Linked DNA regions of Mus musculus: all the other regions are reported to be linked to region 7. The links are microRNA targets in miRTarBase. Many come from high-throughput screens and were not tested one by one. Region 7 holds a microRNA gene; each other region holds the end of a gene's coding sequence.

The links. The annotated mature microRNA mmu-miR-1195 reads UGAGUUCGAGGCCAGCCUGCUCA and lies in region 7 at 2,948-2,970, opposite strand. An mRNA with a match to its seed (bases 2 to 7 or 8) in the 3' UTR can be bound and repressed. Matches are read on the target gene's strand: a 7mer-m8 pairs with bases 2 to 8, a 7mer-A1 pairs with bases 2 to 7 and ends in A, and an 8mer does both.
Region 1: the mRNA of Dll3 is a reported target of mmu-miR-1195. Seed matches in the 3' UTR shown: 8mer at 3,050-3,057.
Region 2: miRTarBase lists Creb1 as a target of mmu-miR-1195. Seed matches in the 3' UTR shown: 7mer-A1 at 1,639-1,645.
Region 3: miRTarBase lists Ctps2 as a target of mmu-miR-1195. Seed matches in the 3' UTR shown: 7mer-A1 at 3,119-3,125.
Region 4: miRTarBase lists Zdhhc3 as a target of mmu-miR-1195. The part of its 3' UTR that is shown has no 7-base or 8-base seed match.
Region 5: miRTarBase lists Tbx20 as a target of mmu-miR-1195. Seed matches in the 3' UTR shown: 8mer at 1,902-1,909.
Region 6: miRTarBase lists Smco1 as a target of mmu-miR-1195. Seed matches in the 3' UTR shown: 7mer-A1 at 3,250-3,256, 7mer-A1 at 3,221-3,227, 7mer-A1 at 2,898-2,904 and 8mer at 2,869-2,876.

The regions. Positions count from the first base shown.
Region 1 is chr7:28,290,563-28,294,629 of GRCm38, forward strand. Dll3 (delta like canonical Notch ligand 3) reads right to left here. Exons shown (of 9, transcript NM_007866.2): 7 at 3,782-4,067; 8 at 3,479-3,563; 9 at 2,993-3,364. The coding sequence ends at 3,359. Selenov (selenoprotein V) reads right to left here and starts at 624. Exons shown (of 6, transcript NM_175033.4): 1 at 1-624. The coding sequence starts at 515.
Region 2 is chr1:64,597,164-64,601,220 of GRCm38, forward strand. Creb1 (cAMP responsive element binding protein 1) reads left to right here. Exons shown (of 9, transcript NM_009952.2): 9 at 71-4,057. The coding sequence ends at 215. Among named protein-coding and RNA genes, the nearest start is that of Mettl21a, 19 kb to the right of the region's middle.
Region 3 is chrX:163,029,064-163,033,130 of GRCm38, forward strand. Ctps2 (cytidine 5'-triphosphate synthase 2) reads left to right here. Exons shown (of 19, transcript NM_001168568.1): 18 at 704-815; 19 at 2,051-4,067. The coding sequence ends at 773. Among named protein-coding and RNA genes, the nearest start is that of S100g, 66 kb to the left of the region's middle.
Region 4 is chr9:123,067,093-123,071,159 of GRCm38, forward strand. Zdhhc3 (zinc finger, DHHC domain containing 3) reads right to left here. Exons shown (of 7, transcript NM_001372538.1): 7 at 1-3,526. The coding sequence ends at 3,269. It overlaps Tgm4 (transglutaminase 4 (prostate)), which reads left to right. Exons shown (of 14, transcript NM_177911.4): 14 at 1-466. Among named protein-coding and RNA genes, the nearest start is that of Tgm4, 34 kb to the left of the region's middle.
Region 5 is chr9:24,721,931-24,725,995 of GRCm38, forward strand. It overlaps Tbx20 (T-box 20), which reads right to left. Exons shown (of 8, transcript NM_194263.2): 8 at 1-3,862. The coding sequence ends at 3,522. Among named protein-coding and RNA genes, the nearest start is that of Dpy19l2, 28 kb to the left of the region's middle.
Region 6 is chr16:32,273,439-32,277,505 of GRCm38, reverse strand. It overlaps Smco1 (single-pass membrane protein with coiled-coil domains 1), which reads right to left. Exons shown (of 3, transcript NM_183283.3): 3 at 2,725-3,793. The coding sequence ends at 3,349. Rnf168 (ring finger protein 168) reads right to left here and starts at 45. Exons shown (of 6, transcript NM_027355.2): 1 at 1-45.
Region 7 is chr17:70,857,611-70,861,677 of GRCm38, forward strand. Mir1195 (microRNA 1195) reads right to left here and starts at 2,990; the gene lies at 2,893-2,990.

The DNA of each region.
Region 1 (4,067 bases), not on the chromosome of region 7:
GGTATGGAGCCTTGTGTCTTGGAGGACGAGGGAGTGAGCACTGGAAGGGGCCCCTGGATGGCCTCCGCTAGGCTGTGGATCGAGGGTTTCTGATTTTGAGCGAGTGTGGGATCCTTCAAGAGAGCGCTAGCAGCCCTGGAAGAAAGGGGCTGTGCCGTGGGCGAGGCCAAGCTCGGGAAGAACCTGCCTGGAGAGATCTTAGGAAAGACCCGACCTAGATTCGGGGCCCGGACTGGTGCTGGAGTCCGCACCGGTGCTGCATGCCGGACTGGAGCTGGAGTTGGGGCTGGGGTTAGGGTTGGGGCAGGGACTGGGGCTGGAGTTGGGAACCGGATTGGAACAGGGTTAGGGACTTGGGCAGGAGCCCGGACCCGGATGGAAGTTCGGACTGGAGTCGAGTTGTGCGCTGGGTTCGGGGCCCTGACTGGGGTCGCGGTTCGGATGGGAGCGGGTGTCCGGGCCGGGGTGTTTGCCCGGACTGAGGAGGGAGCGGGGACCCGCGCCTTGTTATTCATGGGGACCAGGTGAGACCCGGGTACCCCAGGCTAAGCGTCCCGCCTCGCCCTGCTTCCTTGAGCGAGGAGAGCTTTCGCACCCGAGGATTCTAAAAACCGAAGCAACCACGAGCAGGCACTGTTACACCGGGTTCCAGTCAGGCGGAGATTCCAAGCTCTGCGCCAGGGAGGCGCTGCTGTCTTCAGATCTCACCGAATAGACACCGCCCCTGTCCCTATCCCCACCCAGCAGGAGCCAACTCTGCCTAGAGCTTCCCATTGCCACCCTGACACTCATGCGTTTAGCTGGTTGAGTTCATTAAGCGCCCTCCTAGCGCTGGGGATTCCGGGGACAATGCATCTCTGCCCTCCTTGCTTCCTGCCCATGATAGGAGGTCACACCCAGTATGAGAGTGACAGCCTAAAACCGTCAGTGCAGTGGAGAATACCAGCACCCATATAATTCAGAAAGGAGGCACCTCTCTGCAGGATACGAGGTCCGGAGAAAAATAGCGACAACCCACACAAATAATCCAATTTACTCCCGGGGAGTGGTCAAAGTGAGACTCTGTCTTCTTCATGCTGTATCCCCAGCTCCTAGAACAAGACCTGGATCAACCAATCCTGTGGAACCCGAGTTAGGGAGATAAAGTGGAAGCTGGCACCAGGAAAGGGGACAAGTTTGAGAAGTGGAGTATAGGCAAAAGGCAGAGGTGACAAGGATTGGAGCCAGGGACAGTGACCATGTAAGGCCGACTAGACTTCATTCTGAGGCTCACAGAAGGATGACTTAACAGGGGTTGTGGCTCAGTTAATAGAGTTTTCATAGCATTCACAAAGCCCTGGGTCCAAGTCCCCCGTGCCACACAAACCAGTTATGTTGACTCAGGATTGTAGCTCCAGCACTCAGGAGGCAAGTGGATCAAAAGTTTAAAATCACTCTCAAGTAAAAAAAAAAAAACAAAAACAAAACAAAAAAAAAAAAACAAAACCAACCAACACCCCCCCCCCCAAAAAAAAACCCTCAGGATGCACATAACCCTGTTGATGTCTCAAGAGATGTCAGCCTCTGCCTGTGGCTTTGGGGCAGTATTTCTAAGCCAGGGAATATCCTTCTGGAAGGGGGGTGGGGCATACATAGACCAGCCAATCCACAATAACGTGGATAGTGATGACAGCCTGGGGCCACATTGTGTCAGTTCTGCCCCAGGAGGGCTATTAACTTTATCTGCCTGACCAAGACCTCATGAAGACTCTAGGCCCCAGAATGCAATGTACATTTCGTGACCATTAACGTGCTGTGTTGCCAGACGTCAGTGCAGTGGGTGCTTCCACAGGAAGAACACACAGATGTTTGGACTAGGAATTGACCTGGACCCTGGCACATCCCCTTCTCTAGTTGGCTGGGTTTTAAACGTATTTTTTGTTTTGTTTTGCTTTCTGTTATCTTTGAGAAAGACACACAGCTATATAGCTTAGGCTAGCCTTAAACTTACAATCCTCCTGCCTCAGCCTTTTTTCCCCCCCTTTCTGAGACAGGGTCCCATTATGGATCCTTGACTATCCTGAAACTCGCTCTGACAAGGCTTGTCTTGAACTCACAGACAACCACTGCTCCTGCCTCCCAAGAGCTGGGGTTAAAGGCATGTGCCATCGTGCCAGAATCTCTTGGCTAATTTTAATTATATTTTAATCTAATTACCTGTGCTACAGCATAACCACAAGCCTAAAAACTTTTAGTGAGCCTTCTATCAAAGGACCAGGCCTAGTCCAGCGTGGTGGTGCCTGCCTGTAATTCCCAGTGTGCAAGATGCAGACGCTGGAAAGCTGCTGCAGTTTGATGCTAGCTTGGTTGGCAATCCAGTAGATCTACAGAGTGAGTGGCTTCCAGGGCAGCCAAGGCTACAAACCCTGTGTTGAAAAACAACACAACTGGAGAGATGGCTCAGCGGTTAAGAGCATTGACTGCTCTTCCAGAGGTCCTGAGTTCAATTCCCAGCAACCACATGGTGGCTCACAACCACCTGTAATGGGATCTGATGTGCTCTTCTGCTGTGTGTGAAGACAGAGCCCTCATATAATATAAGTACCTGTTTAAAAAGAAAAAAACAACAGAAAAGAAAGGAAAGAAGAAAGAAAGGAAAGAAGAAAGGAGGTGGCTCTCAACCTTCCTAATGTTTCAACCCTTCAATACAGTTCCTCATGTGGTGACCCTCAACCATAAAACCATTTCATTACTACTCCATAACTATGACCTTGCTGTTGTGATGAATCATAATGTAAATATCTGATATGCAGGATCGGTGATGTGTGACGCCTGTGAAAGGGTTGTTCAACCCCCGAAGGGGTTGCAACCCACAAGTTGAGAGCTACTGGTTTATACAATGAGCTCCAAGCTATCACAAGATGCTGTCTCAATTTAAGAACAACAAAAACCTACTATTCCCCTTATGAGACAGCTCTCTTAGTTTCAACATCAAAAACAAAGTTCACCTGTTGGAGTGGTGCACGCCTTTAATGCCAGCACTTAGGGGGCAGAAGCAGGTGGATCTCTGTGAGTTCGAGGCCAGCCTGGTCTACAGAGTTCTAGGCTGGCCAGGGCTTTTACAGAGAGGAAACTCTATCCTGGGAAAATAAAAAGTTCTCAGCCTGATGTGGTTGAGCAAAATAAGAACCTTTATAGATGTCTCTGGGGAGATGAGAAAAACTAGGTTATAAATAAGCAATATGTACAATAAAGCCCTTTCAAAGAGTCTCCAGTCGGTAGGGGGAGGTAGAGATTGGACACCACAAAGTAAATAAAATCATTCAGGCTCCATCTCCAGGCGATGATAGAGAAGGGACAAGATAGAGAAGGGGCAGGATCAGGCCTGAAAAAAGAAATGAGAAAGAAGCGTTAGAAAAGATATTGAGGGTGGGAGGAGCTGGCTGCCACTGAGCCAAGTGTCCAAAGCCTGGAACGTGGGAACGTGGGTCGAGGATACCTCTCGTGCATAAATGGAAGGGGCTGGTATGACATAAATGGATCTAGAGTCTCCATCTTCAGGATGATTCCAGTCAGCCGACGAACTGTGGGAGGAGAGAAACGGGGGACAATTCAGACCCCACGAATTCTCATTTTTTTATTTCCCACACCCATCAAAGAGGGAAACCGCAGACTGGCAAGGGAGAATTCTGCAATGACCCCATCAGAAGAGGGCTAGGGCTAGAACACCTGGGTAAGAAAGTCCAATCCGATAGAACCAGACCAGTCAATTGGCCGCAGTGACAAGGTGTGTCGCCCTCACCTGGGGCCATCCCCAGCACCGTCTTGTAACCTCAGGTTGTTGAGTGCATCCGGGAGCGTGTGGACCGAAGGCTCCCGGGTCCCAGAAAGCAGGCGAGTCCCGGTATCCTGGCCAGGACCTCGGCGGCGAACGTGGATGACCAAGAGTGCGGCGCCAGCCAAACCGGCGGCCACCAGCAGCCCCAAGGCGGGAGGCAGAAGAAAGCGCTGTGGATCCGCCTGCCTCAGGCCCCGCGGGGCGGCGGGCACCGCGTCCGCGCCGTCCGGGCGCACAGCGAACTCGCATC
Region 2 (4,057 bases), not on the chromosome of region 7:
AAACATTCTGTTCTAAAATTAGTGGAATGGAGTTTATGAACATAAATTTTTTTGTGTTTTTCATTTTTAGGGAGGCAGCAAGAGAATGTCGTAGAAAGAAGAAAGAATATGTGAAATGTTTAGAGAACAGAGTGGCAGTGCTTGAAAACCAAAACAAAACATTGATTGAGGAGCTAAAAGCACTTAAGGACCTTTACTGCCACAAATCAGATTAATTTGGGATTTAAGTTCTCTCCTGTTACGGTGGAGAATGGACTGGCTTGGCCACAACCAGAAAGACAAGTAAACATTTATTTTCTAAACATTTCTTTTTTTCTATGCGCAAAACTGCCTGAAAGCAACTACAGAATTTCATTCATTTCTGCTTTTGCATTAAACTGTGAATGTTCCAAAAACTACTTCCACTTCTGCCCTCAAGAAATGTGCAGCGCCAGGAATCATGAAGAGACTTCTGCCCTCCGTCTCCACCACCCTCAAGAAGTAATCATTTGCTTATTTGTAAATTGTTGGGGGAAATGAGGAAAATGAAATCTTGGCTTTCTTATTTTTGTTTTAGGTTTGTTTTGTTTGTTTTCTTATTAATGACTTCAAGGTTTGTTGAGCTCCATGATTGCCTTAGGGACAGTTACCCAGCCTGCTGAGCTGACGTAATGTGTGGGCCACACAGGAAAGTAAGGAAGGTGCAATGAAGAAGTGTTGACTGCCAAATTAATGTTTTTACACTTTCATTGTGAATTATGTCGAACTATTAAAAACATCCTTTAAATAAGGATATTAGTGTGGTGTTGGGAGTAAACTTTATATGTATGTTCCTTTCTTCAGCACTGACAAGTTGTCCTTGGTGCTGAGAAGCACGGTATTGGCTACAGTTCCTCTGTAGGGCAGTTGTTGCTTCTTCATTCAGTTCTGTGTGTTCAGCAGTTTGAATACATTAACAGAAGTAACCAACTGAATGGAAAGCATGGTTTTGAATTTTGAGTTAAGTTAAAATCATACTATAAAGCTTATTCTGGTGAGTACTAAGTCTTAATGAGTAGGTGCTGGCCAGGAAGCTAACTCCTTGAGTTATACAATAAGGTGTTTAATAAATAAAGACTTTTGTCCTTGCTTTCCGAATCCTCATACTGTCACTCATTTACCTAGTCCACTGCTGCATTTACACTGTGCAGCCAACAGGAGCGTTTTCAAGATGTCCAGCCAAAGTGATGGAAAGTACTAAATAGACAACCTTTTCTATAGTCATATTTTTATCAGAGAATCTCTTGGGATTTTTTTTTTTAAATCAAAGAAGTTACAAGGATGTGATTCTAAAACATTGTGTTAAATGCACACAAGAAAAGTAATTTCCTTCAGACATTGGAGTGTGTGCTATGGTACAATATTTGGCAAACACTTTTTTTTTTCTCCTAAAAAAGGTGGTACTGCTTTAACTATCCAAAAGCTGTTCTGTTTCTGAAGATGTTTCTACTTACATCCTTACCTATAGTCTACATTTATGTGTAACATTGTTTCTGATAAGACTTAGTAATAACTCATTTTTTTTTTATTAAACCTAATAAAATCTAAGAGTTACCTCTTTAAAAGACAAATATGAGGACAGTGGAGGCTGGCATGTTAGGTTACTTCACGTTTGAGGAAGAACTCAGACTCAGAAGAGTGTCTTATATTTGCTTTGGGATATTAAGAAAGTTAATATTAATATCAGTATACGTATGAGCGGGAACTGTTTGGCCCATTTCTAAGCTAAGACTAGGTTGCTATCTGTAAATGTTCTACGTTGTTTATAACAAACCATTGTCTTTTTTCAAGGATGAACAGTTTGTGAAGGACATGATTCTAGGAGTTGAGTGATGTAATAATCCTTCTGTCTGGACAGTTCACCAGATTCTCCAGAAGGCTTTCAAACGGCTAAAGTTTGATCTTTGTCCTGCTGAGCTTGCTGGGAAGGAGATAGCATAAAAGCTGTCTGTGCTAGCAAGTAGATGTATCATTTGCTAAACGTGGTGAAACAAAAAGGAAGCAGAATCACAAATCTGTCAACAAACTGGAATTACTTCACATTAAGTCAGAATGTCAGATTGAACATTTTAAATGTCACAAGTGGAAAATTTGCCTAGCGTGCAGAAGTTGTAATCTCTAAGTGTCTATCTTCAAAAGTCGAGGTTTTCTACATAATGAGGAAACAGGTGGTCTCCTTAACCCTTTAGAGACCAAGGCAGTCTCAGCCATACTTCCTAGTTGGATGGATATTAATTTACAGAGGCCTGGGTCTTTATGCTTGGAGCATGACTGTACTAGTTTGACACCAGTTACTTGATAATGTGAGAAATATATGGTGTTGTGAAACCTGACTTTGAAATTTCAGTTCATACAGAAAGAAATCAAAGCCTCTTTAATGCAAGCTGGATTTTTTTTTTAACATGAGAATGAGAAAAACAAAAACAAAAACTTGTTTTTGAGCTATGTGGAGAATCTTTATTAAGAAAATGACATAATTTTTTAAAAACTCTTATATCCAAAATTGTATGTGGCCACATTATCGGTAATGTTTTCTCTTCATGTTGGCCAAAAGGGAATGGAACTGTCATAGGAATCTGTACATATGCTACTGATTTGCCTAGAGAATAGAAGTTTGGTACTGCTCACTTTGCATATATATAGTGGCACTTTTATCTATAGGGCAGATTAACTCTAATAAAAATGAAATGGGGATAGGTTTATTTTTGATATATTACTCTTCTGAGTTTTCAAGCTTTGATAGTGTTTAACTGAAAAATGGTTTAGAAAGGGCTAGATCCAATATGTTCATATTTAAAAAATTGATATGAGATACAATTTAAGTTCTTTATCAAAAGCAAGTACCATATTAGCAACCATCATATTGTCCTAGGTGCTGTGCTTGTTTAGATGGTATAGTGTGGGTGGGGACGTGGCATTTTGTAATATATGTGTACATATATACATACATACAGTATATCATCTAAATGCTCTGAGAGCTGGTATGTCAGGAATGCTGAGTATTATAGCGTATTGAGGTCCGGTGAGATTCCACTTTGCTGTGCTTTCTCCTGCATCTCTTCTGGTGTTTCAGTGACTGTTTTACTCCAGCACTCACAACTGGGTTTTCTCTTTTCTTCCAGTTTTTTATTAGGTTTTTGTTTTGTTTGGCTTGATGCTTTTGAGTATGTTACCAGTCACTTAAAAACTCCTAAACCCCAAGCTCTTTTCCCCCTGCTTTGTTTCTGGCAGCTATAAAATTGGTAAGAACATTTTGAAAAAAGGTTTTAAGAGAATTGTTTCAAGAATCATTTTGGGCAAAGACTTTTCATGTTTCATTTGAACAGGGATTTTTGTCAAGATGTGTTTTGATGGTAGGCCAGCAAGCAGTGCTACTGTCTAAAGCACAAACCAGTCAGGCAGGCTGTCCAGCCAGAAGCCCTCTTGGCTGAAGCCGGTCTCTGCCTCTCAGGACTCCTCCCTACTATTTTCGACCATTTAGGGTGACATGGAATCATACAAATATTGGGGCTTAGAAACAAACATTTATATAACCCGGAATGCTTTTACGTACTTGAAGTGACTTCAGTCAAAATGTTGCCTTTCCTGTTTAGGAAGCTTTGGTTCTCTGTTGACTCGTCAGCTAGTAACACAAATCGGTTTCTCTACCAATAGCTGCTTCATTTTCAGTTCCTTCCAGAGGCTTTTGTTCTGCCTTTGTAACACTGAAACTCTGGATTGGCACAGCATCCCGGGGCCCAGTACACAGGCTGTATGTTGACTTGAGGTTGTATTTACAGTAGTTCTTTGTAAAGGTTTGCTGTAACTTGCACTTTTTTTTAAGGACCCAGTTTGGGTATCAGCAACTTGGGAAATTCCTTATCAATGAGTTCTCAGCTGACCCTTTTGTCTTCCTCCTTCAAATCATGACTCCTTAATGGAAGCGTTTCATTGATCACAGTATCATAGCTAGCCTTAAGCATGTTATAAAAGCTAAATATCTGGGAATTAGGTTTGACTAATAGTGAAGGAAAAATAAGTACTTATAATTTTAAATTTC
Region 3 (4,067 bases), not on the chromosome of region 7:
TCCCATCCTCACCTGCCTTTCTCTTGCCCCTCCCTCCCTCCCATTAGTTATCTTTGTCCCCTTGGACAGTTTTACTTCTTTTCTGTCATATATACATGCATGATTTTATATTTCCTGTAAAATCATAGGAGTCACAAAGAAGATAAAACATACAACATTTGTCTTTCCAGTTGCACCCATTTTCCTAAGGGTGTTATGGCTCTCTCTCTCTCTCTCTCTCTCTCTCTCTCTCTGACGCAGGGTTTTGCAATAGTCCAGGCTGCCCTAGAATTCTTTGGGAATCCTCCTGCCTCAGCTTCTTAAGTGCTAGGAATACAAGTGTGAGCCAGCACTCCTGGCACCAGGCTTCATATGAAGCCAGTTTGCTAATAGAACTTCTCTGGTAAAAAGCGCGTCACAGGCAGGCTGTAGAGCAGCCAAGGCTTTGTAGAAGTGAGCAGCTGATTAACACTCTTCATACTATATGTTTCCACCTATGAAACACATGCCTAAATTTTCCAGTGACTTGGGATGAACGTAGGTGATCACTTTCTCTGAGCAAAGAACCATTGCATGTCATTGGACTCCAAAGTGATCATAGAATAGTCCTTAGTGTTTCCTCTACATGGGTCATAATTATGGAACAGGTTTGGAGCTAAAACTTGAATAATTACTTGTGGCATTTTTCACCATCTTGCTGAGTGACTTTTCTCTGTTAATCTAGTGATGGATACAGTGATGCCAGCGATGACAGCTTTCCAGAGGCAAAGCTTGCTGAACTGGATCTCAACTGAAGCTCTTTCTTGCCTCAGGAATAGCAGAAGCTACCTAAGAGGGTAAGAATTCATTGTTGGAAAGGTAGAACTGATTCCTAGAATTTGTTCTCTGACCTTCACACACATGCTATGGCCCAGTTGTGCTTACGCTGACTCTCTCACACACACATTTATACACATACATATTAGTAAAAAAATAAAATAAAATAGGGGGCTAGAGAAATGACTCAGTGACTTAAAGCACTGGCCAGAGAACCCAGGTTTGATTCCCAGTACCCAAATGGGGTGGCTCATGACTATCTACAATTCCAGTTCTAAGCTATTTTATTGATGCCTTTGTCTGGCCTCTGTGGGTACTAGGTACATACATGGCACACAGACATGCACATAGGCAAACACTCATCACATAAAATAAGTCCTTAAAAAGTTTTAAAAATAAAACTCAACAAAATAAAAACTATCTGGCTGAATGTGTCATAGGTCACTCATAGCAGAGCAGATTCTCTTGGCTTTGTATAAAGTAAGATAATACTGGGGCTGCAGGGCTGGGTCACTGGTTAAGAGTACATGTGCATCTTGCAGATGGCCTGGGTTCAGTTCACAGCACCCACATTGCAGTTTACAATGAGCTGTAACTGTAGTTCCAGGGCATCTGATGCTCTCTTCCGACCTCTGACAGCACCAGGCACACTGTGTTGTATATACATATATGCAGTCAAAGCACACATGCACATGAAATAAGTCTGAAAATTAAAATTAAAAGATAGTATTGTTTCTTTGTAAGAAGTGGCTAGAAATAGGATTGGTTTTAAACGGCAGCTTATTTCCTCTGTTACTATATTCTGTATTCTAAGAGAGGACAGCATCATGGATAGTGTCATTAAGTTTATACTTGGAGACACATGTCACTTGGGATGACTCTAGAGGTTATGGCAGACCTTGAGTTGATATGCAGATATTTAGATGGAACAACTGCTTTTGAACAACTTGTCAAGAGCTCACTGCTCTGTTCAGTGGGGGCAGTTGCACAGTGATAGAATGCTTGTCTGGCTTGCCTGGGGCCCAAGTTCAATTCCCAGAATTGCAAAGCAAGAACAAAAGAACCACAAAGAGTTGTGTCACTCTATTGTGAGCTCTCGGTATATTGTTCTCTTTATCTAAGGGACAAGTGGGATGATATTATAGATGACGACCTTCAGGAACAAACTAAACTGTTGTAAAGATTAATAGGGATGATTTTAAAGGTGTGTATTATTCACTGTTTGATGTAACTAATACTTGCCTTTTTTTTTAAGCCTCTGAAGTCATTATACGGAAGATGAAGGAATTGTCTGAAGAAACCACCACACTGTTCCCTAGACATGGGCTGTGAAGATTCAAAGAGAATCTGACAATGTTTACTTCATGCAACAGAACCAAAGGGGTCCTTTTCTTTTCCCTCCAGAGGCAGCCTGTAGTAGTCACACATTTCTATCCTTAATTAAACGCAATTCAGCAGCAAGCCCGGGCCCGGCAGAAAGTGGTTTTGTGTTTTCTCCAGGACATAGTGAGTTCAAAGTGGTGAGCAGGAAGGGGGTGGGGAGAACTTTGCCTTCACAGTATTACACGGGTAAGGGGCATGTGCTGTAACCAAGGTTGGGTCTGTAGGTTAATGTGGGAGTTAAGATTATTTCACGTTCTCGTTCTGTTTATTTCCAATACATCCATTTTCTCAAATATGAAAGGGAAAGAGGATCTGAAAATTCAGGAATCAGGATAAGTTGGGCCGAGTTTCATCTCTTCAACCCACGCAGAGGAGCAAATTGGCTCCATGAGTCTTCTGACCCCAGCATGCACACACATAGACACGTAGACACTAAAAAACCTAAGGAGCATTAAAAACAAAACAAAAAATTTCCTTTTTAATTCAAATTACTTTTTACTATTCTTTTGACAACTTCATACATATATAGAATCATTTTAGTCATTTTAATCTTTTCAGAGCACCTTATTTATTTCTTTGTTTATTTGTTTATTTATTATTTTTCATATCCCAGTCACTGCCCCATCTTTTTATTACACTCTCATCCTGTTCTCACTGAAACCCTTCTTCTCAAATAAGTCCCTCTTTTATTTTCATGTCTTTTTTGTTGCTTTGTCTTTTTCTTATTGAGACAGCATCTCACAGCATAGTGCAAGCTGACGTGGAACTAACTGTGCAGTCCACTATAATCTTGACTTACTGTCATCCTCCGGCCTCGACCGCCCATGAGTTAGGATTATAGGTGTGACCTGGTCTCCTCTGCTCAAGATCAGCATTTTTGTTTGTTTGTGTGTTTTTTTTTTTTGAGACATGTTTTCGATACATAGATCTGGCTATCCTGGAACTCACTATGTAGACCAGGCTGGCCTCAAACTCACAAAGTTATGCCAGCTTCTGCCTCTCAAGTGCTGGAGTTAAAGGCGTTGTATACAAACACGCTTGGCTAACATTTTTTTTAATTGGAAAAAATAACAATTTTAAAGTGAAGTATGCAGTGTCATTTATTGATAGTGCACAGCTCTCAGTTTTATGAAATTATTCCAGGAATAACCTCTGTTCCCATCAGCCGTCACTCCGGAGGCATTCTTCTATGCGCATCCCCTGGCAACAGTTACAGCCAGATTGATCAGGGCAACTTGGAAATAAAAGAAATCACAGACCAACCTCTACATGGGCAGACTTGTACTTTAACCAAAACAGCTGAAGGACACCTGTCTCCCCTTGGGAGTGAACACTTGTGCGCACGTGGCACGGAAGGGTTGGGGACTTCATAGAACAGAAAAGAGGACTTTGGGCATGGAAGATTCCACCTGCAAGCTCAAAGCTCAGTTTCCCGAAGGCTCAAAGTGGCAGATAGCAGGGGAGGTTGGTATGCTGATCCTCTTATCAGGAGCATCCTGACTCCTGACCCCCACCCTCAGGATGTTTATCAGTAAAGTCAACTTTCCAGTCCAGAGTTTCTCAGCCCACTGGAGACTTTTTTTTTTTTAAAGATCATTAACCCTTCTTTCCAGTCCTTGAGGACTGATTAGAAGTAGGGAGTTGACATATTCTGTCATTGGCTGTTTTCTTCAAGAAGAGGGACAACAGGGACAGGAGGGAGTGTGGATAGGCTCTGTGCCCAGGACCTAAGGGGGCATAGGCAGGATTGACTTTTTGTAGCAGGAGGAACATTTTAACTTCATTGGCTACAGTGGATTCTGTGGTTGCCTTTCCTAGAAGACTCTTGGGAAACAATTAGCTGGGGTGAGGGTGAGGGCGTATAGTAAGATGAGACATCAGACTGGGGA
Region 4 (4,067 bases), not on the chromosome of region 7:
CATGTCACAGGCAAACATTTCAAATACATATTTAGGAATTGTGGCCTCAGAAGACAGTGCCACCGTCATCTGGATTCAGAACCATGTACAGAGCCCAGATATAGAAGGGCTGGAGGCATCTTCCATCTAGACCATGGATTCTATCAAGTCCAGGGGTGCCTGGAGGCTGTGCTGGAAGTCTTATAGAAAGCATCTTGGAGCTGGTCCTGGGTCAGGCACTACACCCTCTTATCCCAAGGCTCTGTCCTCTTAGAAGCAGGCCCCACGCTGGCGTGAGGCCCTCTTGCTCTGGATGAGCCATGGGAGGTAGACCCTTTTTTTAAGTAAGAGTCTATGGCCAGTGACAACATCTGAAGAAGCAACGTATCCTGCCCTGTTCTCGGGAGTCTGTGCTTTGCTCTGCTGTTAAGGTATCTGCTCACATACCACTATGCTTTGAATTAAACTCTGGCAACTTTAAGATGGCTAAGTGGTCTGGAGTTAAATTTTCTTTTATGCCAGCATGCTGCTTAATTTAACCTCATTGCCTCTGAATTTCATGGATCCAGGTTGGCCTTCTTGGTCTGGGTCCTCTTCGTGATGGTCAACCTCTCTCAAGGGCTGTAATTCTAAGTGGACATGTGTTCCAGAGATACTCAGTACACACTGAATAAGGGGTATTTTGTGTATTTAAAGGCCATTCTTGCCTTAGGGTTTCTGTTGCTGTGATAAAACACTACGACCTAAAGCAACCTGGGGAGGAAAGGGTTAATTGCATCTGAGGGAAGTTAGGGCAGGACCCTAGAGGCATGGGCTAATGCAGAGGTCACAGAGGAGTGCTGCTTACTGGCTTGCTCCTCATAACTTGCCCGTCATGTTTTTTTCTTCCATCCAGGGGTGGCATAACTGACAATGGGCCTGGCCCTCCTACATCAATCAAGAAAATGCACTACACATTTGTGTAAAGGCCAATCTTACAGAGGCATTTTCTCAATTGAGATTCCCTCTTCTCAAATACCTTCAGCTTGTGTCAAGTTAATTTAAAACCTGTCATCTTTCCTTCATTCTTGAAACCAGAAAACCCCAAGTCCTGACTCCTTTTTGCCCAGATGCCCACCTCTGTGGCGTGCAGATGTCTGGTACATGCTTGTAGAATAACCTCTGTCTATGCTGGGGCCATGGAGGATCAGTTAGTGTTTGTGACACTTGTTTTACACACTAGACCTGAGAGGAAGGACGTTGTCCAAGGCTTTGGGCTAGGATCTCCTGCTAAAAAATTGGCGCCTCTAGCCACAGAGGTAGACCAAAGAACTATTATTCAAAGCAAGAGGCAGGTGTGCAAGCAGCCTCTGGCCCAGAAACACTGGGCCTCCTCTTATCAGCTGCAGTGCTGAGTAGAATCTCAGGAGTTGCCATAGAGAGAAGGCCATTGGGTTCTGGTGTGAAGGCACAAGGCCCAGGGCTGGACAGACTACTACCTACATGATCCTGGCTGTCCAGTACACAGAAGAAATATGGCTGAGGCCTGACATGGTAATGGGTTAGCTGAGGAGTATGGAGGACCTAAAACTGGGAGCAAAATGCACACTTCAACCTTTCCAGGAAAAGCACTCTGGAAACAAATGGCTGTGGGCTGGGAGGTATCTCTGCTGCAGGTCAAGCTGTCCCCAAGCAAGACTGGTTTTAGCCTCAATGTACAGGACATTCAGTTAACAAATCCTGACTCCAAAGCTCCTTCCTTAATTTAACTGCTGCTCCTTGGGGACCTAGTCACTAGCTCTGATTTCTCCCTGGTATGGAATCTCTGGTTATGGTCCAGCACCTGGGCCGTCCAGGTCTGTTTGGGGTTGGAGGCCCTACAGGTCTTTCCACATAGTGCCAAGATTAGGGACAACTTGGGTTCCTCATGTTATTGCTGATAAATGTTAAAGCAGACCTGCTTGGAGGAAGTGCACTTGCAGTGGGGTGGAGTAGGCCACATCTGCTAATGCTGAAGTCCTGCTGACACTGTGGCACTACCTAGGATGCTGCCCAAGAATCAGACCACCACTTGGCTCCCCACAGCTTTCCTTTCTCAGGGTCCTGAGACAGTACCTCGATTGACTCGTGTCATGGAGGTCACAGGTTCCACTGGCCCAGGACTCCTGCCCTTTTGCAGAGCTAGAGGAGCTGTGATACAATCCTCTGCCAGGGTCAGTGGCAGCCACGCTGGGGAATGGTTCAAGGGGTGAGTTGAGCTGGGTGTGTTTCTTGAGACTATCTAACTGGTTAGACTGCAGAAGCTGCCGCTTCAGCCACCACTGCAATGGACTGGGGAGTGCAGGAGCCTGCCCAGACTATCAGTAACAGCCAGATACCTCAAGCTCCAGTGGACAGACTAGGTCCAAGCTCATCCTGGGAGAGCAGTGCCTGGGGTCTTCCTGGCTTAACAGTCTGCATGTCCTGGCCACCATGCAGTTCTTCATTGTTTTTAAGACAGGGTTTCCCTATGTAGCCAGAACCATGTGGACCAGGTTCTCCTCAAAGCAACAGAGGTTTAGTTGCCAGCTCTAAATGTTGGGAATAAGGCATGTCATTAGGACTAGCAATGCAGTTTTCTGTGAGGCACCATTTTGGGCGCTGCTCTAAAATGCAAAGGAGGCCATTTCTGGTTGCACCTGTCCCCATGTCTTACAGACTTTTTCCAGGAGTTCAATATATGTCTTCACCTAGCTCTTCTAGGATGCATGCTTGTGGCTATAGAAAGGCTGACTGCCTTGTTGTCTCAGGGAAGAGTCTCGTATCTATAGGATGGCGATACTGTCATGACTCAGGCTCATTTCCATTTGGGTAGACTCTGTACGTGTGTATGCATGCATGCATGTAGGGTGCTCTTTCAACCAAGCCCAAGCCCTGACCGCAGGCTCAGCATACCCTCCTTTGTTGATTTCGAGTCAGCCAGCCAAGGAATCCCTTTCCTGGAAATGGCTGGAGTCTCTTTAGCCTTCCAGGCTGGTCTTCCTTGATGTTAGAGCATTCCTTCCCCAAGATCCCCAGCCTCCCCAAGACAGCCCTCAAGAAGCAGAAGTGGATCCCCCACCCCGACATCCTGGTCACCATTTCCTTTGCTGGATCACTTTTGGCACATCCTGTTAAGAGGAACTCAGAGAAAGTCCCTACTCTCCTGTACCCTCTATTGCCCTTCCTATCCCCCGACCCCAATCCTAATGGAAAAAAAAGTGTGGGGTGACAGAGTTGGTAACACTCATCAGGGTAGCAGCCACTGTTGGTGTCTTATCCTCCATGACTTCTATTCATCCAGCACCTCCACAGAGTCCCTGTCTTTTGTCGCCTCCAATTGGCTCTCAGCTGTTTCCATGTTGTCCACGTCTGACAGAGATGACACTTGACGTACCAAGCCCTTATCAATGGGTGTCTCTGGTTGACAAGGTCTGGTGAAAGGGTTGAACCAGTTCAGGGAAAAGTTCCCACCAAAAGCCTCCTGGACCGACTTCCAGCTGCCCGACTGCTCCCTGGGCTGTTTTGTTCGTTGGAGGCGTTCAATACCCTGAAGGAGAATGGGCAGAAGGTCAGTGTACTACATGAACACACCTTTTGCCTTGGCAGAGCAGGGGATGGGAATTTCAATATGGACGGCACAGCTTGCTGCGGCCCAGGCCACTTTTGAAGTCCCTTAGGGCTGCAGGGCAGAGCAGAAACTGTGAAGCAGAACAAGCGGGCCTGGCATTGGATTTGCCTGTCACCCACGTACTGCCAGACCCCTTCCTACAAAGGCAGTGGTCTGCTCCTGGGCAGGGACCAGATACCCAATGGCCAAGTATATCTTGGCTTCTGTAGGCATGAGCTAGACTATCACCTATGAAATCACTAAGAAGGGGCTGGAGAGATGGCTCAGTGGTCCAAAGGTCCCATGTTCAAATCTCAGCAACCACATGGTGGCTCACAACCATCTGTAATGAGATCTGATGCCCTCTTCTGGTGTATAATAATAAATAAATAAATCTTTGGGTCGGAGTGAGTGGGGCCGGAGCACGCAGAGGTCCTGAGTTCAGTTTCTAGCAACCACATGATGGCTCACAACCATCTGT
Region 5 (4,065 bases), not on the chromosome of region 7:
CCAATGTAGCTTAAAAAGTTAATCTGAAATTGAGAAATAGGATAAATATCCTAACATCTCCCTGAAATGCTCATAGGCAGTACAAGACATGACATTTTACTGCTAAGATTATTTCTTGGGTTTGTGACAGATTCATTTTCCCTTTTCTTCTGGGAAGAAGTATGCTGTGTGGAGAAGTCAAGGGACAGATATTTATCCAGTGGTTGAGAAGGTAAGATCTTAGAATGCCCCAGAAGTTGGTGCAGTTCATACACAAGGCTTCTGCATGACGATGAACCTATATAAAGAGCCTTCTTTGGAGCACTCACCATAAATGCTGATAACCTTCTAGACGAGAGTCCAGTGCTGTTAACTGACTGTGCCAGCAATGGAGCAGACAGCCACTGAGCTAGACAATGTTACCTGACAACTGTTGATGTGTCACACACAACTGGAAGTATTTCCACATGAACTGCTAAGGACAGGAACCAGGTGGTATGGTTCATTTAATACGGGATTGGCACACCATAACTTGGGATTATTGAGGAATATTTTAAAACCAGAGCATAAGTGAGAACCTCCTGAGTTATGAGCAAGTCCATTAGAGCTCAGTAAAGCAAGCCTGGCTGGGCCTCTTCAACAGCACTCTCTTTCGCCATGCTTTATCACAATGTAATAGCCATAGGAGGAAGACCTGAATTAGTCCAAATGCTTTTTAAGTCTTGGTTATTATTATTCAATTGGATTTATCAATTAATATCTAATTATTGCCATCAGTTTTTGTTAACCAGACCTTGGGATTTTAAGTTGTAAACTCCCCAAGGATTAATAATAATTTAACTGCCAAAATAAGTCAGAAAGGCACTGGTGGTCCCAGGGTCAAGTGACAGGGCACTCACATGGTGCTGTTTCTCTTGGGAGGTTTCTGTCTGATTTACATAATACCAACAGGGGAAGCAAACACCCGGTAAAGACTTTTAGGGAGAACATTTTCAAGAGCCCTCTTTGCTGTCATCATGCATTTCAGTGAGTTTCATCCTCAAGCAAAATTATAAGGTCAGGAAATACCAACAAAAGATCATATTTAACAGCAATTTAAAAAAAAAACCAACTGTGAGGCACACCAGTTCAAAAAAAATTCAAAAACAATATTAAAACAATCCTTTCATTCTCATGGAAAAGAAAACACAGGCATGTGTTTAGAATCTCACTTTAGAATCTCAGCATATACCAGGGGAGAGATGAGGGGCACCCTGCACAGTCGTGCCTCAGTTTTTTTGTTTTTTGTTTCTTTCCTGCTTTAAATAGTAGCACTTTATTCCAAGGTTCTTTTGCAAGAGGCCAATTATTAAATATCAAGCCCTTACCCTTGCTCTATGGGCATTTATTTTAAATACCACTCACAATGGGTTTTTAAGAGAAATGCACATCTGTATTTTGTCTGGAAACCAACTACCTGTGGATACTACTACAAGGCACACAAGAAGCTGCACTCACCTGCAGTGTCTGCCATGAGAGTTTAGAATCATTTCCTTAACAGTTCATGCTTCTTTGTAAGTAAACTATGGACTTTTGGTGGAGAACATCAAGTGCAAAAACCTAAAACTAGCATCCCATGCTCAGACTGGGTATGGTACCTTGTTTCATAGACTGGACTTGGCCTTGGAATTCATCCCGCATGGAAAAGCCTAACATTAAAGCTACCAAATAAAACAGCAGAGTGATGTGGTAAGTATATGGCATTTACTCCTAAACACATTTCTACTGTCAGGAGATTTCCCGTATCTTTAAGCACAGTCAATACTTTTGAAATAAGAACAGAGTAGAATAAAAACTTCATTAAAAAATTGAAACTAGGCCAGGCACTGGTGGCATGCACGCCTTTAATCCCAGCTCTTGGGAGGCAGAGGCAGGTTGCTTTCTGAGTTCGAGGCCAGCCTGGTCTATAGAGTGAGTTTCCAGGACAGCCAGGGTTACACAGAGAAACCCTGTCTCAAAAAACAAAAACAAGAAAAAAAAATTGAAACTAAAATAAATTCAGGCAACCTACATAAAGCAAACTGGTCACATCCTATAGGTGGAACACACTGTCTTCAAAGCTGAAAGTCTAAGGACTTTAATAAATCTATATTATTAGGGAAATGTACTATTGTAAAATATCATATGTGTTATCCTGAATGTAAATGCTAAGATACATGTTGCTCAAAAATAACATAGTGGTTATACAGAAGTAAAACATAAACTCTAGTTTACACATAGAAGGAAAGCTTAAGAACATAGGAAAAACTGGATGAAGCTCTTGTATTCCGGTAAGAATTGTTAGTATTTCTGTAAGGGAGTCATTGAATTAACATGCAGCTTCATATTAGGGACCAGGGAAAATGAAAAGAAGTCTGTAAATGTAATACAGTCAGACTGGAGAAACCCACTACAGGGCATGTACATGCCCATAAGCATACATGAGAGCATGGTGAAGCATGCATATGGAGAGTGGCCATTGGCAAATCCCTGACAAGGATGGAAACAGCAGCAAAGCAGATGTATATTTAAAAAAAAATCAGAATTTGGCCCAGTGTGTTTTAATATACAAGAGACTTGCTGACGCTGGAGTGAAAAATGAAGAGGACTTTGGTTCCCAGGGCAGAGAAATTTCCCTCAGAAGAGAGACACCAGACTTTGAATGTGTGAGGGAGAGCTTCAGCCATCACCATGCACGGGCTCTGGACGGGTCCTCGGTGGCTCTGTCAGCAGCCTGTTGATAATGCAGCCCCCCAGAAGCCATCCTCTTTGAAAATGAGAGAGCTTCTTGTTTTAAAATGGCATGTAGAGGGTTTTCATTGCATAACTGCAAAGTTGTTGCAGGAAAAAGAATTATTAGGCTTTAAAAAAAAAAAGAGAGGGGATGGAAGACAGAGTTTATGTTATCATGGCCTGTGGATATGGCAGGAACTTGGTAAATGTGTTACCACATATTCATTCACACCACAGGACGTACTAGCACCAACTCTGCCCCGTCTGCAGCAAGCAAACTGACACAAAAGAAACTAAACATGCTTAAAGTAGAGCACTACAAACATATCACGACTGGCTTCCATTTCCTACTGGGAGAAGTGGGCTTGAGTTAGTCTTGTCAATACGCTATATAGTATTGCCTTCTGGATGATGCTCTGAACCTGTTGAAAGCGGAAAGAAACCTCTACACACGGATTTTATACAGCGCTGCATCAACAAAACTTTTAAGCACTAGGATTATTAAGCTTTCTGGGTGAACTGATAGCCCATTAGCTGTAGGAGTATGCTGAATATACTTCACGCTGATTCTTCCCTGGATCCAATCACAGATGAAGCCCGGCCCGTGGTGCACTCCCTTGCGAGTACGTGTTTTGCGAGTCCAGCTCTCCTCTTTCCTTTAATAAGTCCTGTGTTTCCTGGAGAGTCCTTGCTCCAATACCCCACTTCCCACCCACCCTACTTCCCACCCCTCCTGTATTTTCATAGCCATTTGCACACTCTGTATCTAGCTTCCCCGACTCTCAGTGGAATCATACAAATGGCGTCATCACAGCGGAGGAGTGGCGAAGTCCTTGGATGGCAGCGTAGGGCCCCTGCTGGAAGTAGTGATGGTATCTAGGCATGTGGAATGAAGGGAACGTGGGACCACTTCCCTGCATGGAGCTGGCTATTGCAGATGGGGTCAGAGGCATTCCCAGGCGGCTATATGGTGGCAGAGAACCCTGTATAGGGTGAGGAATCGGTGTCGCTATGGATGCTGTACTGGTACCAAGAGCAGTCAGGGGCTGTGGATGCTGAAATCCAGGAAAACTGGAAGATGACGATACCCAGGAACTGAGAGACAAATTGTCAGATGTTGTAAAGGCTGATCCTAGAAGAAAAACACTCATTAGACTCAAGTTGCTACTTCAATATACTAATAAAGAACTAATGATCAGTTTATTTTCTTTTGTTGTAGTTCTTGCTGCTGATGTTGTTTTGAGACAGGGTCTCACTATGTAGCTCTGGCTATCCTGGAATTCACTATGTAGACCAGGCTGGCCTCAGACTGACAGAGATCTTGCCTTCCTTTGC
Region 6 (4,067 bases), not on the chromosome of region 7:
TTCCCCGCCAAAACGGCACGTCTTCCCCCAAGGAACCGCTCAGTCGGGCGGGACTTCCGGGAGCTGCGTCTGCGTTCCCGCCTAGCCTGCTAGTAGCAACTCCTCCCGCTTTTGGTCGCTCGGCTACTGTAGGCTGCAGAATCTTGCTTACTCAAGTAACTCTCTAAACCAAGATCCGAACAGGAATTTTTGTAATTATTCTTTCAGTATTCTTTAGGCTACCCTTCTCCTAACAAAGCTTTCTAAAGTTCTTAGTGCTAAAAGAAGAAATTACAACAAATTTACCTTAAAGATTTTTCTTAGCATTTATTTGCAACACTAGCATTTTATAGAATGAGCAGCAGATATTGGCCTTATAGACAAGTGACGCTCAAGGAGAGCAGCAACAAAGAGTTACACCTGTGGTTTCAAAGAATCCTTGTAAAGGTTAAATAAGGTGGGGGTGATATCCTTATGGTACTGGCTAAAACAGCAATGTAGAGATTTGGCTGTTATTGCTTTCCCTCTTGTTTTGGGGGTGCTTGGCTTGGGCCCTCTACCCCAGACTTTAGCATGAGTAAATGCCTATTGGGTTTGGTATGTGGAGTCTGAAGAACTCAACAAGAGACCCATTTCTATAATCAATCCCAGCATTTGGGAAGTAGTCACAAAAGGATTATTATAAACTAGCCTTGGCTACATAACTGGTTCCAGGTCAACCTGGGCTATATGAGACCCTTCCTCAATTGGTCAGCTGGTTCCCAAAACATTGCAGGCAGAGGCAGGAGGGTCTCTGTGAGGTAGAGATCAGCCTGGTCTATACAGTGAGTTTAGTAAGAGACTCTGTTTCAAAAAGGAAGGAAGGAAGGAAGGAAGGACCTCTGAACTAGGCATGGACACGTGTGTCTTGTAATTGAGGCATTTAGGTAGCAAAGGCAGAGGCAGAAACAGGAGGACCTGGAGTTGGAGTCTGTGATGGTTTGCATATCCTTGGCCCAGGGAATGGGACTATTAGAAGGTGTGGCCCAGTTGGAGTAGGTGAGTCACTATGGGTGTGGGCTTTAAGACCCTCATCCTAGCTGCCTGGAAGCAGTATTCTGCTAGCAGCCTTCAGATGAAAATGTAGAACTCTCAGCTCCTCCTGCACCATGCCTGCCTGGATGTTGCCATGCTCTGGCACCTTGATAATGGATTGAACCTCTCAATTTGTAAGCCAGCCCTGATTAAATATTGTCATAAGAGTTGCCTTGTGGCCAGGCGTGGTGGCACACGCCTTTAATCCCAGCACTCGGGAGGCAGAGGCAGGTGGATTTCTGAGTTCAATCCCAGCCTGGTCTACAAAGTGAGATCCAGGACAGCCAGGGCTATACAGAGAAACCCTGTCTCAGAAAAACCAAACCAAAAAAAGAGAGAGAAAAAAAAGAAAGAGTTGCCTTGGTTATGGTTTCTGTTCCTCAGATCTGTGACAACTTGGCATTTATACTTCTTTCTGTGTCACAGTCCACTGAGGTCTTCAGCTTCCTTTCTAACGACTTAAGGCCCACAAGCTTGGCAGAAAGTAGCAAGACTGTCCTGGAGCTGTGGCTGAGACACTGACATAGGTGCTGGGAGTGGAACTCTGGTCCTCTGGAAGAACTATACATGCTCTCAGCCACTGAGTCATCTCTCCACCCCTATTATTTCATGCTTTCAATTGATTAATTGCCCTTCAAAAGGCATTCAAAATTCAAAATGTTCAAATTGAGCAAGCAGTCTGACTCTTCCTAGGGAAATATAAAGAAATGTCTGTTTCGCCTAGACAGGGCAAAGACAGACCAAAGAAGAGATTCCAACCAAGTCCAGCGTGGTGAACCAATGAGTTCATTGGTCTTACAGGAGCATGGGTGTGGGTTACTTACAGAGGCATGGATGACTTGAAGGCAAACCATCTAAAATCCCCACCTCCGTGTGGGGATGACCCCCAAAGCTGCACCACTGCATTCTGAACCCCAATCAACTGCCCACCTCCTGTACAGTCTAGCGTCCCACCTCCTGTACAGTCTAGCGTCCCACCTCCTGTACAGTCTAGCGTCCCACCTCCTGTACAGTCTAGCATCCCACCTCCTGTACAGTCTAGCGTCCCACCTCCTGTACAGTCTAGCGTCCCACCTCCTGTACAGTCTAGCGTCCCACCTCCTGTATAGTCTAGCGTCCCTGAAGATTAGGTGTGGCTGGAGCAAGAGTATGTACAGCCTAGGTCTGGGGTTGGAGACTCAGGGGAAAGTAGCATTTCCCTTTTCCATCAACGAGGAAATGGCAGTAGGACTGATCTCATGACCCTGTGCTGTGGCCAATCACAGCTTCTCTGATTCGAGACAATGATGTCATGTCCTGTCTAGAGAAGTTCTACTAGCCAGTGAAAACAATTTCTTTCCCTTTGACTCTTAGATTCTTAGTCCTCTACCCCCACCCCCCCCAAAAAAACCCCACATCACTTAAGTATCACTGCAGAAGTGGATATATCTAAACTTATACACAGTATCCTTTGAAGATATTATAGGTATGCTGGGCAGCCATGGCTATCCAGCACTTGGGAAACAGAGGCAGGCAAATATCCAGGTTTAAAGCCAGCTGAGGCTACAGACACAGAGAAACTATGTCGTGAACAAAAAATTGTGTGTGTGTGTGTGTGTGTGTGTGTATAAAATTGTTTTTGCCCCTTTTTGTATATAACATTATAAATAAAACACCAAATCTGAGTAATGATTCCATATAAATTTCTTTATTATGTATTTGGTGGTATCAGGGATTGAACTCAGGGCCTCATACATACAAAAAAAAAATGTAGCTGGGTGGTGGTGGCGCACGCCTTTAATCCCAGCACTCGGGAGGCAGAGGCAGGCTGATTTCTGAGTTCGAGGCCAGCCTGGTCTACAGAGTGAGTTCCAGGACAGCCAGGACTACACAGAGAAACCCTGTCTCGAAAAACCAAAAAAAAAAAAAAAAAATGTACTCTGGGCTACACCCCAAATTCTACTTCATTATAAAATATTTGCTTCTTTTTCAAATATGGCTACACACACAATGTACATTGTATCCATTTGTCATAATTTCTTTAATGTTCCTTCCACTTTTGCTATAAAATAAGCCTATAAAAATTAAATTATGCATTTTTTTGGTTTTTAAAATACAAATGACCGCCGGGCAGTGGTGGCGCACGCCTTTAATCCCAGCACTTGGGAGGCAGAGGCAGGTGGATTTCTGAGTTCAAGGCCAGCCTGGTCTACAGAGTGAGTTCCAGGACAGCCAGGGCCGTACAGAGAAACCCTGTCTTGGGGGAAAAAAAATACAAATGACCGAGAGTGGAACTGCTGGGTCAAAGGTAACAGGTTAGTCTTTAACTGGGGGCATCAACTCTTTTAGGGGTGCCCTTGAGTTTTCAGGGTCCTGTGCTTGTTTCCCCTTCTCGATGATCTGAACAGCTCTAAGCAATCCATCCTGTAGAGCCTGGTTCTTTACCATGTTGGTGATCATGAAGGAAACATCTTTGATGTACATCCGTCTTACGTTGGCAGCATAGTGCTCTCCTTTGTTGCCATGTACAATGAAGAAGGTACAGAGTGCTGAGACATCCCTCTCCTGCAGCCCGTACTCCTGCAGGACAGACTCCCACACAAGCCTAACATGCTTGTTCTTGGCTTTTCTTCTAAGGACAGAGGCTAAGGTCGGGAGACTTCTCACCAGGTCTGGGAGTTTCTGAAGCATTCGAGTGTGCAAGCAAATAAGGACCTCGATGACATAGCTGTATACAATATTCAGTTCCATTGAGGTGAACCTATGAAAAACGGGCAAAGCTCCTTAAATGGAACATTTCATGCACAAACAAAAGCTGCATTTGATTATGTTGGTGCAATGTAAACCCTCTAGAAAAAACAGCTGCGAATTTCGGAAGTATGACCTGCACCAACTGCATAGCCAAGTTCCCAGGCCACCCATAGGGGGCGCTGTGCATGGAGCAGGAACTTCTTTACTCCCTTCCCATCAGTAAGACAGCAGGTAAGAGACCCAGAAAGTGTATGCTGCAGTGCCTGGCAGGTAAACAGGTGCTC
Region 7 (4,067 bases):
TGCTTATTCCCTTGCAAGCGACATGAATAAATTTTATTTTTACATTTATTTGTTGATTGCAGTGATGGGGGTTGAACCTAGGACTTCCCTATTACTAGGCAAGCACTGACCACTGAGCCACACCTCAGCTGTAGCAAACTTGATGTTAAAACTCTGAGCCGAGCGTGGTGGCGCACGCCTTTAGTCCCAGCACTTGGGAGGCAGAGGCAGGCAGATTTCTGAGTTCGAGGCCAGCCTGGTCTACAGAGTGAGTTCCAGGACAGCCAGGGCTACACAGAGAAATCCTGTCTCGAAAAACAAAAACAAACAAAACTCTGACATCTATATTACTTTTTTTTTTTTTTTACTATACTTGATATAGAAAGATTGGTACATTCCACTCTCATTTTGAAAGCTCTCTAGCATATTTAAAGAGTATATAACATACATATGTACTGGTCCTCAAGAAATCCTTTCCATCTATTTATTTGTTTGTATGTTCACTCGTTTGTTTGTTTGTTTATAGACAGGTTTTCATGTATCCCAGGCTGGTCGGGAACTCTCTAGGTAGCTGACAATGTCCTCGAACTTCTGCTTCTCTTGCTTCTACCTCCTAGGAGTCAGGGCTCCAAACCTGCCTTACCATGCCTACATCTTTTTTTTAGTGTAAAACTAGAAATTAAGTCCAGGACCTTCCTGCCTGGGAGGCAAACACTTTGACTGAGTGAGCTAAATACACTGTTTTTAATTATGTGTCTATGTGTTTATGTATAGATGTATGCACAAAAGGTTTTGTGCACACACCTATACATGAACACATAGGTTTGTGTATAAGTGTGTATAGGTGTATAACACCTATATACACACAAGGTTTCCATGGACATGGCCATCAAGAGCCTCCCAACAAAGGTGCAGGGAACTGACTCCGATGATTTGCAAGAACATTTCAATCACAACCACTGAGCTACCTCTCCAGCCCAAAACCTTTTTTTTTTTTTTTTTTAATTAAAACATTTACTATTGTCTTTTATATGTGTGTGTGCCCTCCCCTGGCACTGAAGTTATAGAAGTTGTAAACCACCATGTGGGTGCTGGGAATCTATCTCTAGAACTGCACCCCATGACAACTAGCTGCTGAGCCTTTCTCTAGCCACCTCTCTCATCTTGTTTTTAGTAAAATCCTAAAGAGATGTGTAATCTCAGATACAATGTTCACCATTCCCAGAGTGGTTTTGCGTTTTAACTTTTTTAAATCGTGGATTTTTTCCCCCTTTTCTTCTTACTCTATAGCTCAGGCCCAGGATGGTGTGGGAATTTACTGTGTAACCCAGACGCTGACCCTGCCTCCTGCCTGAGCCTGCTAAGTGCTGGGGTTACAGGCGTGTATCACCCACCACCTAGTTCTCTGAGGAGGTGGAATCCAAGCTCTGGGCTCTGGGAAGGGCTCTACACACTGTGCTGCACACCACTGGACTGGAAAGCCAGTGTGTACTCTGGACCCCTGAACTGTCTTCCTTCATCTACAAGCTACTGCTTACTTCTATTGTTTGATATAAACCCCAGACATCACATCACTTCTGGATCAGCAGTTATGATTAATGTTCTAGCTTGTCTGATCTGTAGCTCTGAACTTACTCACAAAAGGGCTGGGTCTGCAGGGCAGTGGTGGCGCATGCCTTTAATCTCAGCACTTGGGAGGCAGAGGCAGGTCTGGTCACCCCAGAATTATACACCCCATTGTCTTTTGCTGTTTTCTGCTTCTAAGGCTAAATGTTTCTCCAGAGAGAACAATTACTTTTCATCTCTAGTTGGCACTTTAATGCTTTTAGTTCTAATAACCCATTATTTAGGTTAATAAAGAGATAAAAAATTGCTCCAGCAGGCTTACTCTTTTTTTTTTTTTTTTTTTTGGTTTTCCGAGACAGGGTTTCTCTGTGTAGCCCTGGCTGTCCTGGAACTCACTCTGCAGACCAGGCTGGCCTCGAACTCAGAAATCTGCCTGCCTCTGCCTCCCGAGTGCTGGGATTAAAGGCATGTGCCAACACCGCCCGGCAGGCTTACTCTTCAATGTGCGTTTCTATTCTTTCTGCTGGCACCCGACACACTATGTGCTCAGTTTGTTCTGTGTTGTTTGATTGATGAAATACACTCGAATCTTCACACATTTTTTTTTCCTCCTGTGGTTGGAATTGGATAGTTATTGTAACCAAAGGCTCCACAAAAAGCAATTTAAGGGAAGAAAATTTTATTTTGTCTCATGATTCAAGTGACCATGGGCAAAAAGACAAAAACCTTTATATTTTTTCCTTCCTTCCTTCCTTCCTTCCTTCCTTTTTCTGTAAAACACACACACAGAGATATGGGAGGTGTCCTTCAGGCATGTGGAGGTCAGGGGACAGCTTTTAGGAGTCTGTTTTCTCTCTGCACCTTTTTTGGGGGATGGAGTCTCTTCTGTTGCTTCTCACTGAGTAGTGCTCTGGCCTAGGTGGTCCGCAAGCTCTGCTGATTCTCCGTCTCCACTCTCCATCTCTTTCTGAGAGCACTGGGTTACCGTGGCACACCCTTGTACTCGAGTGGGTGCTGGGGATCAAACTGAGCTCAGTCAGGCTTGTGCACCCAATCAAGGCCAGTGCTTTAGACTGTCCTGCCGTCTGTCCATCTCAAGAGGGCATCTTCATTAAATGGCAAGAAATTAACATTGTGCTCATGAATAGAAACAAGTTTTTAGCTTGACATTTTAAATTTCTACAAATAATGCAGGCTTGACTGTGTCGTGTGTATAAGCCTTGTGTGTGGTGTTCAATACTGTGTAGCTACTACAGCTTCCCCTCAGAATGTAGACTGTTCTCTCTCTCTTTTCTTTTTTCTTCTTCTTTTTTACTTTTTCTTTTTTTTTTTTTTTTTACTTTTTACCTTCTTGAGACAGGGTTTCTCTGTGTGTTCCTGGCTGCCCTAGAACTCATTCTGTTGAGCAGGCTGGCCTCGAACTCACAGAGATCTGCCTGCCTCTACCTCCCAAGTGCTGGGATTAAAGGCGAGCGCCACCACAGCCCGGCTGCCTGGCAGATTTATTTATTTATTTATTTATTTATAACCTTGATCTCATGTTTAAGGTGATGTGTCCCAAACTCTCCACTGTGGGCATTATGTTTTCCTTTATGGTTGATAAATCTATCAAATGTATCAAAATAGGTGAATGTCCTGTCTTTGAAGCCTTCAATCTCAGCCTCCTCACTCCATCATTCCTTCTCCATTGCTTTGCTGTGTCCTATGGTAGGGAGAGCTGCCCCTCCAGTTGTCTGTGCTGCTCTGTCTACTTACAGGACATTTGGAGTCCTGGTTTATTTAGTGCATTAATAGCCTCTTATTATTATTATCATCATCACCACCACTATTGTAAAAATTCTTGGATTTACCCAGAGGAAGTTCCTCAAACTGTTTTTTTATTAATTTATTCTTTGACAATTTGATATATACACAGTGCATTCTGATTATTCTCCCTGTCTTCTCATCTTCCCCTCCAGTCCCTCTGACATGTTCATGTCTCTCTCTCTCTCTTTTTTAATATTACATGTTTTGCCTGAATGTACTCATGTGCCCCATGTGTGCCTGCTACCTGCAGAGGCCAGAAAAGGGCATTGGATGCTTGGAATTGCAGTTTGGATGGTTGTGAGCCCCATGTGGGTTCTCTACAAGAATAACAGGTGCTCTTAACCTCTGCACAACCCTCGAGCCCCTTCATGCCTTCTTGTTTTGCACCCCTTGAGTCTAACCACAGTGGTTCACGTGCCACTGGGTATAGAAGCATTCGCTGAAGTTGGTAGACTCACCCAGTGAACACACAATTGAAGGCAGTGACTGTCCCTGCCCCAGCAGCAGCCAGCACCAATAGTCCCCAAACCGGTTTCCTTGTCCTCTTGTACCATTCTTGGAAGATTTTCTTACCGTCTGGGACAGTGGCGTGTCTCAGGTGCATGCTACACTTCCCCTGCTCCAGTCCCCAAGCCCTGGACTGATCATTTTTCCAGCAAGTGCTGGCTATTCTTGTAGAAAAGAGAATCACTTATAGACATCAACATGAGCTCCAG